Lonchura striata: one gene and its partners. The protein of the gene in region 1 binds, or shares a complex with, the protein of each later gene. Links are inferred from orthologs where the notes say so. Each region holds a gene or a part of one and is shown on either strand. Other genes may lie near its edges. The genes, in order: OGT, ZNF831 and KANSL1.

Region 1 (4,440 bases):
GGAACAGGAGTGACAAAACAGTTTTAGTATTTAATACCCAACTGCAGAGAACAAAATACTTAAATGAAATGCCACCTATTTTAGACAAAGCAACCAGAAGTGAGAGAAGTAAGTAAAATTTCTTACAAAGTAATAAGCAAGTGCAACTTGGAAAACCCACAACCATTCATCATAGAAAGAAGTGTTGGCCTTCAAATTCTGCCTTTATATCAACAACTCTTACTATTAAAATGTTTGATTACTCCAAGTATCTCTCATTTTCCCTCCTGCACTCTGCAGCCCCTTAATTCCATTCATTAAACACTTTCCACCTCATCCTACAGTTTTAAAATTTGGACTCTAAATGAAACAGATAAACCTTTCCTAATACAAGAAAGCACCTCAATACCTGAACCTACATTTTTGTAGTAAGGTAGTACAAAAGTTCATGATTTTGTGAGAACTTTAAAGATGGCAAAAATAATCATAATCATATAATTTATATAATCATAAAGATAAATACAGATTTACTACCTAGCATTTATTTTATGAAATTGGGATTGATGTAATTTATTTAAATTACTTTCAAATTTGGGGGTTTAGCACCAGTAGGTTTCAGTATAAGACTCCAAGTCCTGTATGATATAAGTACAGTATTTTTTCCAGATAGTGTATTGTCTCTGCCACAGTAAATTTGAACTACCACTGCCAGTCTCTTTTTAGATAACTGACAAATTAGTAACCAAGTATCTTGATCCAGATTAGATTCCTGTTTTTCAAACCCTGAGTAAGAGCAACGTGGACTTCAGGATGTGGTTAAACATACTGGCAAAGGTAAAAAGGTACAACCTTTATTCAGTATGAGAATGTTGAACTGTGGCTGAAAACCACACTGCTTATAAATGGTGCTGACAGTAATACTGGAGCACCAGCAAACTGTTCCTCACTTGGTCCCTGTGCTGTTAACAGGTTTTGCCCTTCTGGCAGTCAGCGCCAACTTCCGCTGATGGCACAGAGAAACCAGATAGAGGAATAGCGTGTCTCATGAACTCAATTTCTTCTTCAAATACATTTCAATTGTTTTAGTAAATGTCAAAGAAAAAAAAAAAAAAAAAAAAAAAAAACCAACTAAAAAGCACCCCAAAGCTTAACACCCCAGAAGTTTTCACTTCAAGACTTATGACTGCAGGGAAAGAAGCTTTCAGTCATAATATCAATGCTACATTTTGCCTACTTAAAGCAAGAAGTCAAACTGCAGGTGCAACTGCCAGATCAAGAGAGCAGGCAGTGGAGATTTAACCCCTGAAAATGAGAACTACTAACAAAACCAACAAACGAAGAAACACTTGACACTTTCTTTAATTTATCAAGAGCCTCTGTTTACAAAACAAGCCAAAACCTTTGTCTCCAGAGATAGGGCAACCTCAGTGTAAAACTGCCAGTCATCTACCTCCAAGCAGTTATTTTATAATCGATTGTGAAGTACACTGAAAAGCAGAAGTGGACAGCCACATCACGAAGCCCAGAACAAATGAAACTTTTAATACAAAGTTGGCTGGAAGTTATGGAGTGCAAAATATCCATAAAAGAGCCCATGAAAGGATGCTCACTGAATCAATTAGTAAAGAAAATAACTGCAGTGAGAAGTCACAGCCAGGAAAATCCCTTTTCGTGTCTTGCATAAATTAATTTCTGTACCTTGGCTAATTTGTGCTGCATGCTTTGACTGTGACCTTGGAAAAGTCTAGTACAGTGCTGTGACAATGACCTTCCCTGAGGGTTCTGGACGATACAAGCAAACAAAAAGCTGCACAGAACCACCAGAAAGGCACCCAAGGCCATTTTCCCCCCACAAATACCATCCTAAGCACTTGCAATCAAGCTCAACCTTGCCTTCAGACACCATCTAGTTCCAGACAGAAGCAGTGGTTCCCTCCAGCTGGGAGGTGCTGGATAGCACAGGACTCCCTCCCAGCGTGCACGTGGCTCTTTTTACCCGCAAGGATCCCGGCTACAAGAGGATGCTGCAGCCTCGCTGACCACACACAGTTCTAGCTGAGAAAGTACGAAACACCGTACTGCAGCACTTCTCCGTATCACTACCGCTTCTCTTTAGATCCCTATCTCCTGCACCGCTGTCCCGTCTCTTTCTCCAAAAATCCTCCTTTTCCTTTTGCTTTTCCCAAGCATCATTTCAGCTCTCCCCACCCCCCCTGATTACAGAAACCCTCAAAATCTGGGGGATAAAGCTGCGCTGTCCTTTCACCCTTTCAGTAAGCCAACACTTCTTTCTCTTGCTGTACAAAGGAAGTCAGATTTCTCCTCCATTCCTCAAGTTCTGGATCTGCGAACTAAATTTAGGGCAGGATCTTTCCTTGATACAACACGCAATTTTACTGTTCAGAAAAGCGCTTTAGCGTTCGTCTATGCCACAGAATCATGGAACGTTTTGGGTTGGAATGGACCTTAAAGATAATCTCGTTCCAATGCCACCGCCACGGGCAGGGACACCTTCCATTCGACCAGGCTGCTGAAAAAAAAGTCCTGCCTAAGTGCAGCGAGCGATTCTGGGCAAACCAACGCACACTTTGGGTCAGGCTTTTACCCTACTTCGCCCTCTAACGCAGTCACCTGATAGTCTGGTAAATATAGCAGCGAGCCCGCCGCACTCACACCTCCCCGGCAGCGGCCCGGGGCTGCCCACGGGCAGCGCCCACCGGAGCGCGCCCGGGACCGCGCCGGGGCCCGGCACGCACAGACCCCACGGGCGGCGGGCACCGCGCCGGCCGCGTCCGGAAACCTCCGCTGGGCGCCGGCCCGGCCGGCGGGGAGCGGCCCCGGGGCCGAGGGCACGGCCGGGCCCCCGCCGTCCCCGGCCAGCCCGTCCTCGGCAGCGCCGCAGCGCACGGTACCTGTGCTGTCCGCCACGTTCCCCACGGAGGTCGCCATCGGGACAGGAGACGGGGAAGCTGTGGCGGCGACGGCAGAAGGTGCGCTCGGGCCGGGCCGGGCCGAGCTGCCCGCGGTCGCGGCGCGCTGAGGCGGCGCTCCCGAAATGGCGGCGGCGGCGGTACCGAATGGCCGCGGCCGGAACTATCCCCGCGGAAAAGAGTCCGGGCGGCGCCGGGCAGCGCTGCCACACGGCGGGCGGAGGGACCTGCTGCAATAGGCACGGGTCGAGATAAAGTTATCCTTCCGCGCGCAGCGCTGCGCCAACGGCGGCGGCACTGCGCATGCGCCGCCGCCTCCCGGCACTCCCGCACGTGGCCCCGCGGAACCGGCGGGACCGCGGCGGCGGGACGGCGGGGCTGGGACAGCGGGGCTGGGACAGCAGGGCTGGGACAGCGGGGATCGGCCGGCGGGGCTGGGACAGCGGGGCTGGGACAGCGGGGATCGGCCGGCGGGACGGCGGGGCTGGGACAGCGGGGCTCGGCCGGCGGGGATCGGCCGGCAGGGCTGGGACGGCGGGGCTGGGACGGCGGGACGGCGGGGCTGGGACAGCGGGGCTGGGACAGCGGGGATCGGCCGGTGGGGCTCACCGCGGCATCAGCTCAGACACAGTGCAGCTCCGTCACACGGACAGCAGAGCTCAATAACCGGGACACCGGAGCTCACCGTGTACCCGCACAGAGAAATGGCAGCCAAGGCGTCCGTGTCCCCATTCCTGCTGTACTGCATGAGCTCCGTCAGCCGCACCAGGACTCCACACCGAGCTCCGGGGACTGCACTAGCTCCCCGGGGCACTGAAAGTTAGCAGTCTCCGGTGAACCGGGAGCCTTCCTAAAGGTTCAAATCACCAAAAGTCTGGTTTCTGGAACCTGGAACTTACTGCAACTTCTAGAAAAAGCAGGGCAGCTGTTTCTGAGGTATTGGTAGGAGTTAGGCAGTTCCCAAAACCACTGAGGGGTCAGACATCAGACACTGTATTTGTAGTCCCAGAGAAAAAGCTCCCCTTTATGAAATGAAAATTGCCTTAAAATTGTTCATCAACAGCAAGTATTTCATTCTGAGCAAGCATTTTTCCTGACAGATACTCATTTATCCAAAGAGCCAGTATTTCTGAGGAATTACTTTACACCTATAAAGACTGAAGAACAAACCATACAAATCTCTATCTGGATTCTGGAACCAGTACAGGCTACAATAAGCCAAGGCTTCAGCAGGACATGCTTGTCTAATGCTTATTCTTCATCATTTACTCATTCATATAACATGTTTTATAGTCAATTAAAATATATCTTAAAAGAAATCTTGTTAACACAGCCCACACTACACTGTTCCTCACACCAAACTCGGACAAGAGAAATTCAGGAGGCAAGAGTGGCCCAGGATGACCATTATCTCAGGGAAGGGACTTCATTCATCTGAGTCCAGGTCACTGTCTCCTGCAATGGAGTGAAAATCCTCGCTGTCCTCCTCATCCTCAGACAGATGGACCTGACTTAACACACTTGGCCCAGA
Region 2 (4,440 bases), on another chromosome or scaffold:
AAACCAACGGGGAAAAAAGATGCACATCTTATAATAGAACACTGGCATGAATCAAATCATACAAACAGATGATTATGGGCATTTTACATAACCAGTCAAAATTAGTTTGTCTTCAGTTTGATCACATTTCTGGAGCCCATTATTTTTTATTACACTTTGAGACTGACTGTTATTAAGTTAAGGTGAATTTACTTAAAAGGGACACTTAATTTAAACAGTACTAATAATTGCAGCAGTATGCTGGAACTAGTGACAAATTGAAAACATGTATAAGCATTTAAAATTAATTATTGAGATCACTCAGTATCAAATTCCAAATGCTAAAACTGCAAGCTGCTTATCCTGAGAGACTTAAGGAGACCATAATTAATTAAAGCAAGTTACAGCAAAAGCAATTGGCTGTCTGGATATCTGCCACTATCACAGAGATTTCAGGGTTTAGCAGAACCTTTTGAAGCTTGATCTAAAATCTCTAAATCTTGGATGACTCTGGAATCAGGGTCCTTCACAGCATCCTGTGATTCTTCCCATTTATGTGGTTGAATAGGCTGCTGTAATGGCTAGAAGTAACAAAATACAGAGCACCAGTATTACACTGCATTAGCTGTGTTTGAAATTAAGTGATTTTTGTTGTCTCTTTCTAATCAATCTACTTATGTGTTGCTTCCTCAGCTGCAATCTCTATGCAAGATTATTTATATTCATTTTAAATTCAAAATATTGTCCTGCTCAGAGAAACTCGGGTAACTTCAATAGACAGCAAAGTATGGATTTAAACTATGCACAAAGCTGAACCCACTGTCAGGTGCTGCACAGGAGGGAGTTCTGGGGCTGTACTCCTCTCTCAATTCATGTCCCCATCAGGATTTGAGGAATTAAACCCCACACCATTGGTACACATTTCTGGGTCCCAAGTGGAAAAGGTCCCACCCCAGGTATTTAAAACCCTGCATCCTTCAAAGACACCTACAGAGTTTTGACAGGGGTGTGAGCAAGTGAAAGCAGCAATAAACATTCTTCCTGTGCTGGTGAGGAAATTGATTCCAAAGATCCTGCAACTACACGTTTGAAAGAACTTTGCAAAGTTAAATGAAAAGAAAGTATCTTCCAGGATTGCTAATTATTAATTTTTCTTGTGAAGGCAGAGATGCTGAGAGCAGCACACAGTATCTTACTGTCAGAGAAAGATGCAGACAGTGGGATTATAATTTCCATTTGCTCATCCAACACTGACAGCCTGCACAACTCCCTTGACAGACCACACAAAACTTCTACTTCAATCTTAGCACCATAAAATCATTGGGAACCATAGGGTCTGAAATAAACTTTGTGCAGGTACTTTAAACACTCCTTCTGTGATGGAAGCAAAAAGTTTGTGAGTTTACCCCAGGTCTGGAGTTTTTAGTTCTCAATTCAAACAAGCAAAATGGAACCGACACATTTCCTGGTTAGCCCAGAAATGACTGTTAATCTCGTTTAACTTGAAAACTATTTCTGCCTTTGCTCTTTTCTCAGTTTGACTTCCTATCTTGAAATGTCTCATAACAGAAGTAGTGAGTTCACCTTTCCCCTTGTTCTTAAGGGATGTCTCTGATCTCACAACTCTGCCAGTTCCACCCGCAGCCTGCACGCTGCCGGTACCTCCTGAACAAAGTTGGGAGCCTCAGTCCTCTGCAGAATCAGGCTGAAACTGTTTAATTCCATCATCTCCTGAAACCTTTAGAGTTTTTCCATAGTCACATCTCAAATTCTGACTTTGGGAAATCTTGCTGCTTGGTACAAGTCATTGTTCTGAAGTTTTGCCTTCTTCATGTGCTATTAAAGTACAAAGGCACTGGAAAACCAGCTGGGGGAACTTGGAAATTCTTGTACCGTATCAAAAGGATAAATATTTTTGACACTTAACTTCTACAGTTATATCAGCAAAGCTGGTTAGGTTGGGCTTTTTAAAACAATTATTTCTGTAAATATTGTGCCAGAATACAGTTTTAAAATCTTTTAGGAAGAACGGGATCTGCTTTACCTTCCCTTTGTTCCAGAATAGAAGCAACTGGTTTTATCATAATTATACAGTTTTCTATATTTTCCTATGTTTCTTTTCTTGAATATCCATATATGAAAACATTCCAAAGGCTTAGATTAGTAAAAATATTGTTACCCAAAACACATTTTAATGTGTAAGTAAACACTGTATTGGCTTTTTTGACCTCTTCATGCAATTTGTATCAAGAATATTTCCTTTTCTACTTCTTACACTGCTACTTTTCTCAGCTCTAGCCATAAGAAATGCTTTCTAGTTTATTATAAGTCTTTAGTTTAGATTTACATCACTATTTCTAAAAAGAAACATACCTAGCATATCTGTTCGTTTTATAACATGCTTTGTGGCTTGACCATGAGGAAAAAATAGGATCTTTAGTGCTTAAAAACCTCAAAGTATTTCAATTCTTTTATCCTTTCATCAAATTTGCTCCTGTGCATTTCCCGTGTTAGGAAAGAGTTAACAACCTCCAGCCAGCAGACTGCAATCAACAGGTTGCTCTAACAGAAAAATAATAACCCTAATCCATCTTTTAAAGTTTAGAAGGTTGGACTAAATGATGAAAAAATACCGATTAAAACCCTCTGAAAAGCTGAAGTGGGGCCAGAACTGAAATGCTTTGTGTTTTATGAAAAAAAAATCTTTCTCGTTGCTAAGTGAAAGAACCATCATAATTAAAAAAAAAAAAAAAAAGCCAACAACTGTAACTTTAAAATTTCTGGCTTGCCATCTAGAACTGAATTCTCTCTCTGTCCATAGAAAATGACAACAAAACACTTGCTAACCTTTAGGTGGCCAATTCACAGGCAGGTGGAGAGGTTCAGGTCCCTGGAATAGCGTTGAAACAAAAGAAGCATCCTGTTTTCTTTTTTCAGTGTCTTTCTCTTCTCCTTTTTTTTTAAGCATTTGAACAGTGAAGGGTGGGTGGTGGGGTGTGTGCAGAGAGAGCAGGGGGTGCAGGCAGCCCACGCTGGTGTAGGAAGAGTTTTAATGGCCGATGCTGGGAATATGGTTTGCCTGCTACAGTGTCTGCACTACTGCAGCTCTGTGTGTGGGCGTAAAGAAATGACACGACTGGGTTTCAAACCATTACACTGAAGATTTGCAAACAGTTAAAAAAAAAAAAAAATACACAACCCCATCAGGCACAAATGAAAAATTATGATTTTTCTCCTTTTATCTTTTTCTGAGGTTTTTTTTGTTGCTTTGTTTTAACTTAACAGATGTAATCCAGTCAAGTTTCTTCCTCAGCCTCTAAAAGAAAAAAAGGTAAATTGAGTATTTAGGAAGGTTTTCTACTTTACATAGTATTAATATTTTGTTGTCTTTTTTGCTGCTATTTTTTAATTAATCTACAAGAGCTTGTATTTCTGAAGAGTATCCAGATTTCCCCAGAGAAAGTCTTCAGAGAACACCTATATTTGTGCTTTAGAACATGCTAAATAGGTGCCTAAATTGTGGTAGCACCAAGTAGCACAGTACAGTACACAGAGCAGCCACTCCACAACTGGCCAGGCAGGACATCTGAGCCCAGGACTATTCCTTGGAAATGCCACAAAACACAGCCAAAAAACCAGGACATGCTGGCAGCCCAGTTTTGTTCAGTAGTCCAGCAACACCTCAGGTTTACTGATCTAAATTAGGCAGAAAACAGACTTGAATATTTGTTGTAACTACTGGAGACCAACAGGAGTGAGACAAAGGGGCTGTTCCCTGTCATATCATGGGGAATGAGAAGAAAATGGGATTTCAGCTGATATAAAAGTGCTGACACAAGTAACAGGGACTAAAACAGTTATGAACACACTGTTGTTGGGAGGGACAGGTGGAAGGTTTTGTCAGAAAAGCAAGAACACTTCTCAAACATATCTTTTTCCATATTTTTTACTTTTTACAGACAAAACAGTTTTAGAAGGGAACTTGAAAACTTCAAGGAATCTTTATGACTTGGCTGCTCCATGACTGACACTTGATAAATGTGTATCTCCAGGTATGTTGAGAAGAGACAACTAGGTAGAAAATCTTGTGTTTGGGCAGAAGGCATGTGCTCTCTGGGGTGTCGGGGTTTAGGTGTCCATCTTTTCACACATCCAGATGAGCCCCAGATAATGCAGGATTTCTGTTGCCTTTGGTGTTGTGCTGACAATGAAAAGCAGAGCAGCTGCAGGCACAGGGAAAGGGGAGTAAATGAGGGGAGGCTCTGGGTGGTGCCCCCACCCAGAGCTCGCAGCAGGGTATCCCTGGCAGTCATTTTTCTCCTCACCCAGAGATGAGGAGCCAGAGCTGAACATCAAATCAGCACAACTGTGTCAGTAAAACCAGCAGGACTGGACTGGAGGGCCTCAGACTGCTGATCCCAAACTTTGACAAAGACTGATAAAGGAGTTAAGCAGTGAATC
Region 3 (4,440 bases), on another chromosome or scaffold:
TCAGCACTCTCATGCAGTACCTTAAGAAAATGGGTGTTGAGACCTTGAACGTGGGTTTAAGTCAGTGATGGAACAGTGGCAAGGAGGACAGCCGGGCAGTGTGTTATCAGCACCCCACGTCCAGCACCCAGCGGGGTCACACAGTGAACACTAGCTATTCTTAAGGGTAACAAAAATACCTTTTCTGAAAGACAACAGCATGAGGAACTCAGCAGCTGCACACTCTGTCCTGATCTCCTCGCCCCGCTTAGAGAGAATTTTAGGGACACAGGACCCTACGATGGCGTGCGAACCTCTGGTGTTATTGGTTTTTTTAATCTACCTTGAATTAGGGCTCAGCTAAAAAGCAGAAGTAGCAACAAATGTGGTTTTATACTGGAACAGAAGAGTGAGGACAATCTGTTGTGGAGGAAGTTAAAAGAAATTCCTGTGCAATAAAGCTTCTGATCTTTTGTTCACTGTGCAGTGCAGGACTTTCTGCTGAGGCACAGACCAAGAGCCCAGATTCCAGCTTGACATTCCAGTACAGGTCTGGATCTTCCTGCAGCACAGACACAGCTGCAGCTTCCATCGTCCAGCCTGACCTGGAGATGAGTAGCAGAAATTGCTGTGCAGTGTAAAATTACACATGTACCTTCTATGGTCCTGCCAGTCTGTTTCCCACTCAAAACTGTGCTACAACTGGTCACCTGGCCACTCCAGGGCCAGCCACCTACCTGTCCCTCACACAGGATGTTCCTGATCTGGAGATGCCCCCATGAACAAGAGCAGCTCTCCCCAGTGAAGCCCCATTTTTACATCCTTCGAACTGTCCTGTTCTGCCAAGCATCCAGAACACCCAAAACACAATATCTGGTGAGGGCTGTGTACCCAGCTATGCACACCTAATTGTTACCTCATCTTTCCACCTATTAATCCTCCTCACTTCCTCTGATTGGACCTGCCTCAGAAATTTAATAGTCTCTATACAGTAACTATATGCATATCAGTACATAAAATAACTCTTAAGTGTTATTATTTATGACTTTTGAGCCTAAACCCATGCTATTTCTGTTTGGGAAACATCCTGAATGTGGGAAAAATGGATGGCCACTAAAAAACACAACAACAAGACTCTACCTGCTCTTAATACCAATACTTCCTATCACAAGTCCAGCATGGGAGAATCGGAGCCCAGGCAACCACAGGGGAATGGCAATGGGGCGGAGAAGGCAGCGAGTCCCCGTTGTGTGAGCAGGGCACAGGCAGAGCTGGAGCAGCACATCCCCTGGGAAGGAGCAGGCAGGGCTTCCTGCTCCTCTGCTCCCACAGACCTCCTGCCCCTCTGAGGAGGCTTCACAGAACTCAAGGGCTGGAACGGAGCTGGTCTCTCCTGTGACAGTAAAGCACTGCAAACTGTGGCAATAGAACACTGCAAACTGTGACAGTAAAACACTGCAGACTGTGGCAATGCCAGGTGCCAGGAGCTTGAGCACAAGTGGGGGTCACAGTGAGAAAGGCCCTCAGACAGATCCTAGCAGAGCAGTAAAGCAATTCAACTTGTGACACGCTCAACACACTCCAAAAATCAAGGTCCAGCAAGATCTGCCCTCCAGAAGCAAACACCCCTCAGCAGCAGAGCTGCCGAGGGATGTGGTGGCCGGACACGCCGAGTGCCCCAGCAGCACACGCAGGCACTGCTCCTTCTCCCAGCTCCTGCCAGCTCACGGGAGGCACAGAGGATCCAGGGCACCCTCCCGGGGCCCTTCCTGCCAAAACCCACAACAGGGAGATTTAATTCCACTTTTAAAGCCCATAAAACAACTCAGTGTTATTCCGTGTACAAAGAGCAAGAGCTTTGCTGCTGTGTTGGCCGACTGAAGATCAGATACCACAGCAGATTTGGGTAGGGTCAGTGTGAACGGATTGAAATAAGATTTTTGGTTTTCCCATTACAAGAGAATTTGTCTAAATTCAGCCTCAATAATTGGCCTAAAGTCAGGCTGCTTTGACTTGTAGATTTATGAAAAGAGGGAAATATCCTTCCCTTTAGCACTTCTCTTCAGGTTTTATTCAGCTGCACAGAGCTCAATTCCTGTACCTGAGTGTTTAGGACACATTTGTAATGTGCAATAACATCGGCAAGGCAAGAGGCCAATTTTCTGAAGAAGCACCAGCAAAGCCTCGCCAGGCTCCACTCTGGACCCAGGAGCACCACGGCTGCTTCACACACCGGGAAACCAGAGAAACAGAAATGTGAGCAGGAAACTCCAGCTTTAGACCTTTGGTTTCCACAGGACAAAGCCCCTCTGACAGGTGTACACAAAACTCTTTTGATACTATAAATACATACATAAACCAGATCAAATCAGGAAGTATAAAGGACCTTAGAGTGTAAACCTGGGGTTTAAGGATGAAAACAATAAAGAGAGGGGAAAAAAAAGCAGGAGATCTTTCTTTTTCTGGGCAAGTCATGCCTTGATGTCTCGATGCTGCGGCACACAAGGACAGGTAACACCTGAAAATACACACACATGCTCCTGAGAGGAGCCTCCACATCTCTTCACTACAGGCACTGGAATGGCTTTGGAGAGAGAAGCACCCTGTGCACGCACAGGATGAATCCACACTTCCAGCCATCATACCAAACCTCCATTTTAAAGTTGTGCATCAGCCAAGAAACTACGTGCAGGGCTCCAGCGTCACCCTGCAGGGTCAGGAGCCCAGGCAGCACCCGGCAGGGCAGCTGGGCACACCGAGCGGGCCGGCGCCGGGAGCGGAGCCCCGGGCAGCCGGGGAGCGGGGCAGGCGGGACGTACCTTGCTGGGCATCCTGGCCAGGCCCATCCTCGCTCACACCTGCGCTCCAGGTGGGCAGCCCGGGACGGCCTCCGGATCCTTCCAGCCGCCGCCGGCGGGATGCAAGTTTCTTACCGATTTACTCGAGGAGGTGGGGAAGTGCGGGAGCTGGGGACAGAGAGGGCTGTCACAAGGGGCCCGCCGCCCCCTCCCGCCGTCAGCTCCATCCCGCCGCGGGCTCGGGCCGGGCCCGGCAGCGCTCGGGGCGCGGGCCCGGGGCCGCCGCCACCCCCGATCCTTCCAGAAGCCCCCCGGGCCCGGCCTCGCTTCCCCGGGCTAAAATGGAGGCGCGGGGCGGGCGGGGGGACCCCGCTCCGCTCGGAGCCGACCGGGCCCGGTCCCGCGGGGCAGCGCGGCGGGGCGGAGCGCTCCCGGCGCCCCGGGCCCGCCGCGACCCTGCCCGCGACCCCCGGCTCCCGGGCGGGAGCAGCCGCCCGCCCCTCCCGGCCCCGCCGCGGCCCGGCCCCCGCAGCCAAGTCGCGGGACGGCGGGGCCGGGGCGGGGCCGGGGCGGGGCCGGGGCCGCGACCCCCGGGCCGTGCGCGCCCCCGGCCCGCGGCCGCCGCGCGCCCCCCGCCCGCTCCTACCTGCGCCGCTCCGCCGCCTTCAAGCGGGCACCTTCCGCCCTCCCCCGCGCCCATTGGCTGCGCGCGGGGCATGGGCGCGCCCCATTGGCTGCGGCCGCGTCAATCAGCGCGGGGGGCGGGGCGGGCGGTGATTGATGCGGTGCCGCCGCTCGGCCCCTGCCCCGCGCCCCCCCCGCCCGCGCCCCCCGGGCCACCGGCCCCGGGCCCGGCCCCCACGGGCGGACCCGGGCGCGCCACCCCGCCCGGGGCGGCCGCGGGTCCGGCCAGGCCGCGGGAGCACCGGGCGGGGGGACACGGGGAGCCGGTGTCCCGCGGGTGGCACCGGGGCGGGAGCCGGGGGGCGCGGGTCCCGCAGCGGGGAGGGACCGGCCGGGGGCCCGGGAGGCCCCGCCGGGACGGCGAGCCCCGGCACGGGTGGCGAGGGCTGCGGTCCCGCCGGGCCCTGGCCGCGGGTGGCACCGGGCCCGTGTCCCTGTCCCACGGGGCAGCGGGGCCGTGGCACCGCTCGCCCTGTCCCCGAGGCACGGGACGCCCCCCGGTCCCCGGTGACCCCGGGGCCGTCGCACTGCCATCTCCTCTAGACACAGAAAACTCCCCAATGGCTGCTCCTGAGCGCTGCTGTGGGCACAGCCCTCCAGCTGCTGCCACTCTTGCCTTTTCAATTCGTCTTTTAGTTTTTATCCAGTCACGGGCCAGGTATAACTCCAATAAAAGACTTGATCCATGTCCCACAGGCCAAAATGCAGGTGAGCTCCTTCACTGCTCACTCTTGGGACAGCAGGGCTGGGAGAGGATCATGGAATCCTGGAATGGTTTGGCTGGGAAGGGACCTCGGAGCCCATCCAGCGCCACCCTGCCATGGCAGGGACACCTTCCACTGGCCCAGGCTGCTCCAAACCCATCCAGCCTGGCCTGGGACATTCCAGGGATCCAGGGGCTGCTCTGGGCACCTGTGCCAGGGCCTTGCCAAACTCTGAGTAAAGAATTTCCTCCTAATATCTAATCTAATTCTCTCCC

Evidence for each region.
Region 2: the proteins of OGT (region 1) and ZNF831 are in contact, whole or in part, in a crystal structure (PDB 8FUF), measured with the Homo sapiens proteins. The link is inferred for Lonchura striata from reciprocal best matches to the Homo sapiens genes OGT and ZNF831. Residues at the interface, in NP_858058.1 of Homo sapiens: Phe723, Ile734, Met779, Ile787, Ile790, Asn791, Arg792, Gly793, Leu808, Ala809, Thr831, Arg832, Ser833, Gln834, Tyr835, Gly836, Leu837, Pro838, Glu839, Arg877; in NP_001371283.1 of Homo sapiens: Phe937, Ser938, Pro939, Lys940, Tyr941, Leu942, Leu943, Arg944, Leu945, Pro946.
Region 3: OGT (region 1) and KANSL1 share a complex: the UniProt entries of both Homo sapiens proteins name them as parts of the NSL complex. The link is inferred for Lonchura striata from reciprocal best matches to the Homo sapiens genes OGT and KANSL1.

Annotation. Positions count from the first base shown.
Region 1 is NC_134616.1:18,902,563-18,907,002, forward strand, and holds the start of OGT (UDP-N-acetylglucosamine--peptide N-acetylglucosaminyltransferase 110 kDa subunit), read right to left. Parts: upstream 3,061-4,440; 5' UTR 2,929-3,060; coding exon 2,892-2,928; intron 1-2,891. Other genes in the region: TAF1 (transcription initiation factor TFIID subunit 1), read right to left, coding at 4,336-4,440. UniProt on the Homo sapiens protein: Catalyzes the transfer of a single N-acetylglucosamine from UDP-GlcNAc to a serine or threonine residue in cytoplasmic and nuclear proteins resulting in their modification with a beta-linked N-acetylglucosamine (O-GlcNAc).
Region 2 is NC_134619.1:3,793,819-3,798,258, reverse strand, and holds the start of ZNF831 (zinc finger protein 831), read right to left. Parts: upstream 3,110-4,440; 5' UTR 2,827-3,109; intron 1-2,826.
Region 3 is NC_134627.1:8,850,533-8,854,972, forward strand, and holds the start of KANSL1 (KAT8 regulatory NSL complex subunit 1), read right to left. Parts: upstream 2,957-4,440; 5' UTR 2,799-2,956; intron 1-2,798. UniProt on the Homo sapiens protein: Non-catalytic component of the NSL histone acetyltransferase complex, a multiprotein complex that mediates histone H4 acetylation at 'Lys-5'- and 'Lys-8' (H4K5ac and H4K8ac) at transcription start sites and promotes transcription initiation.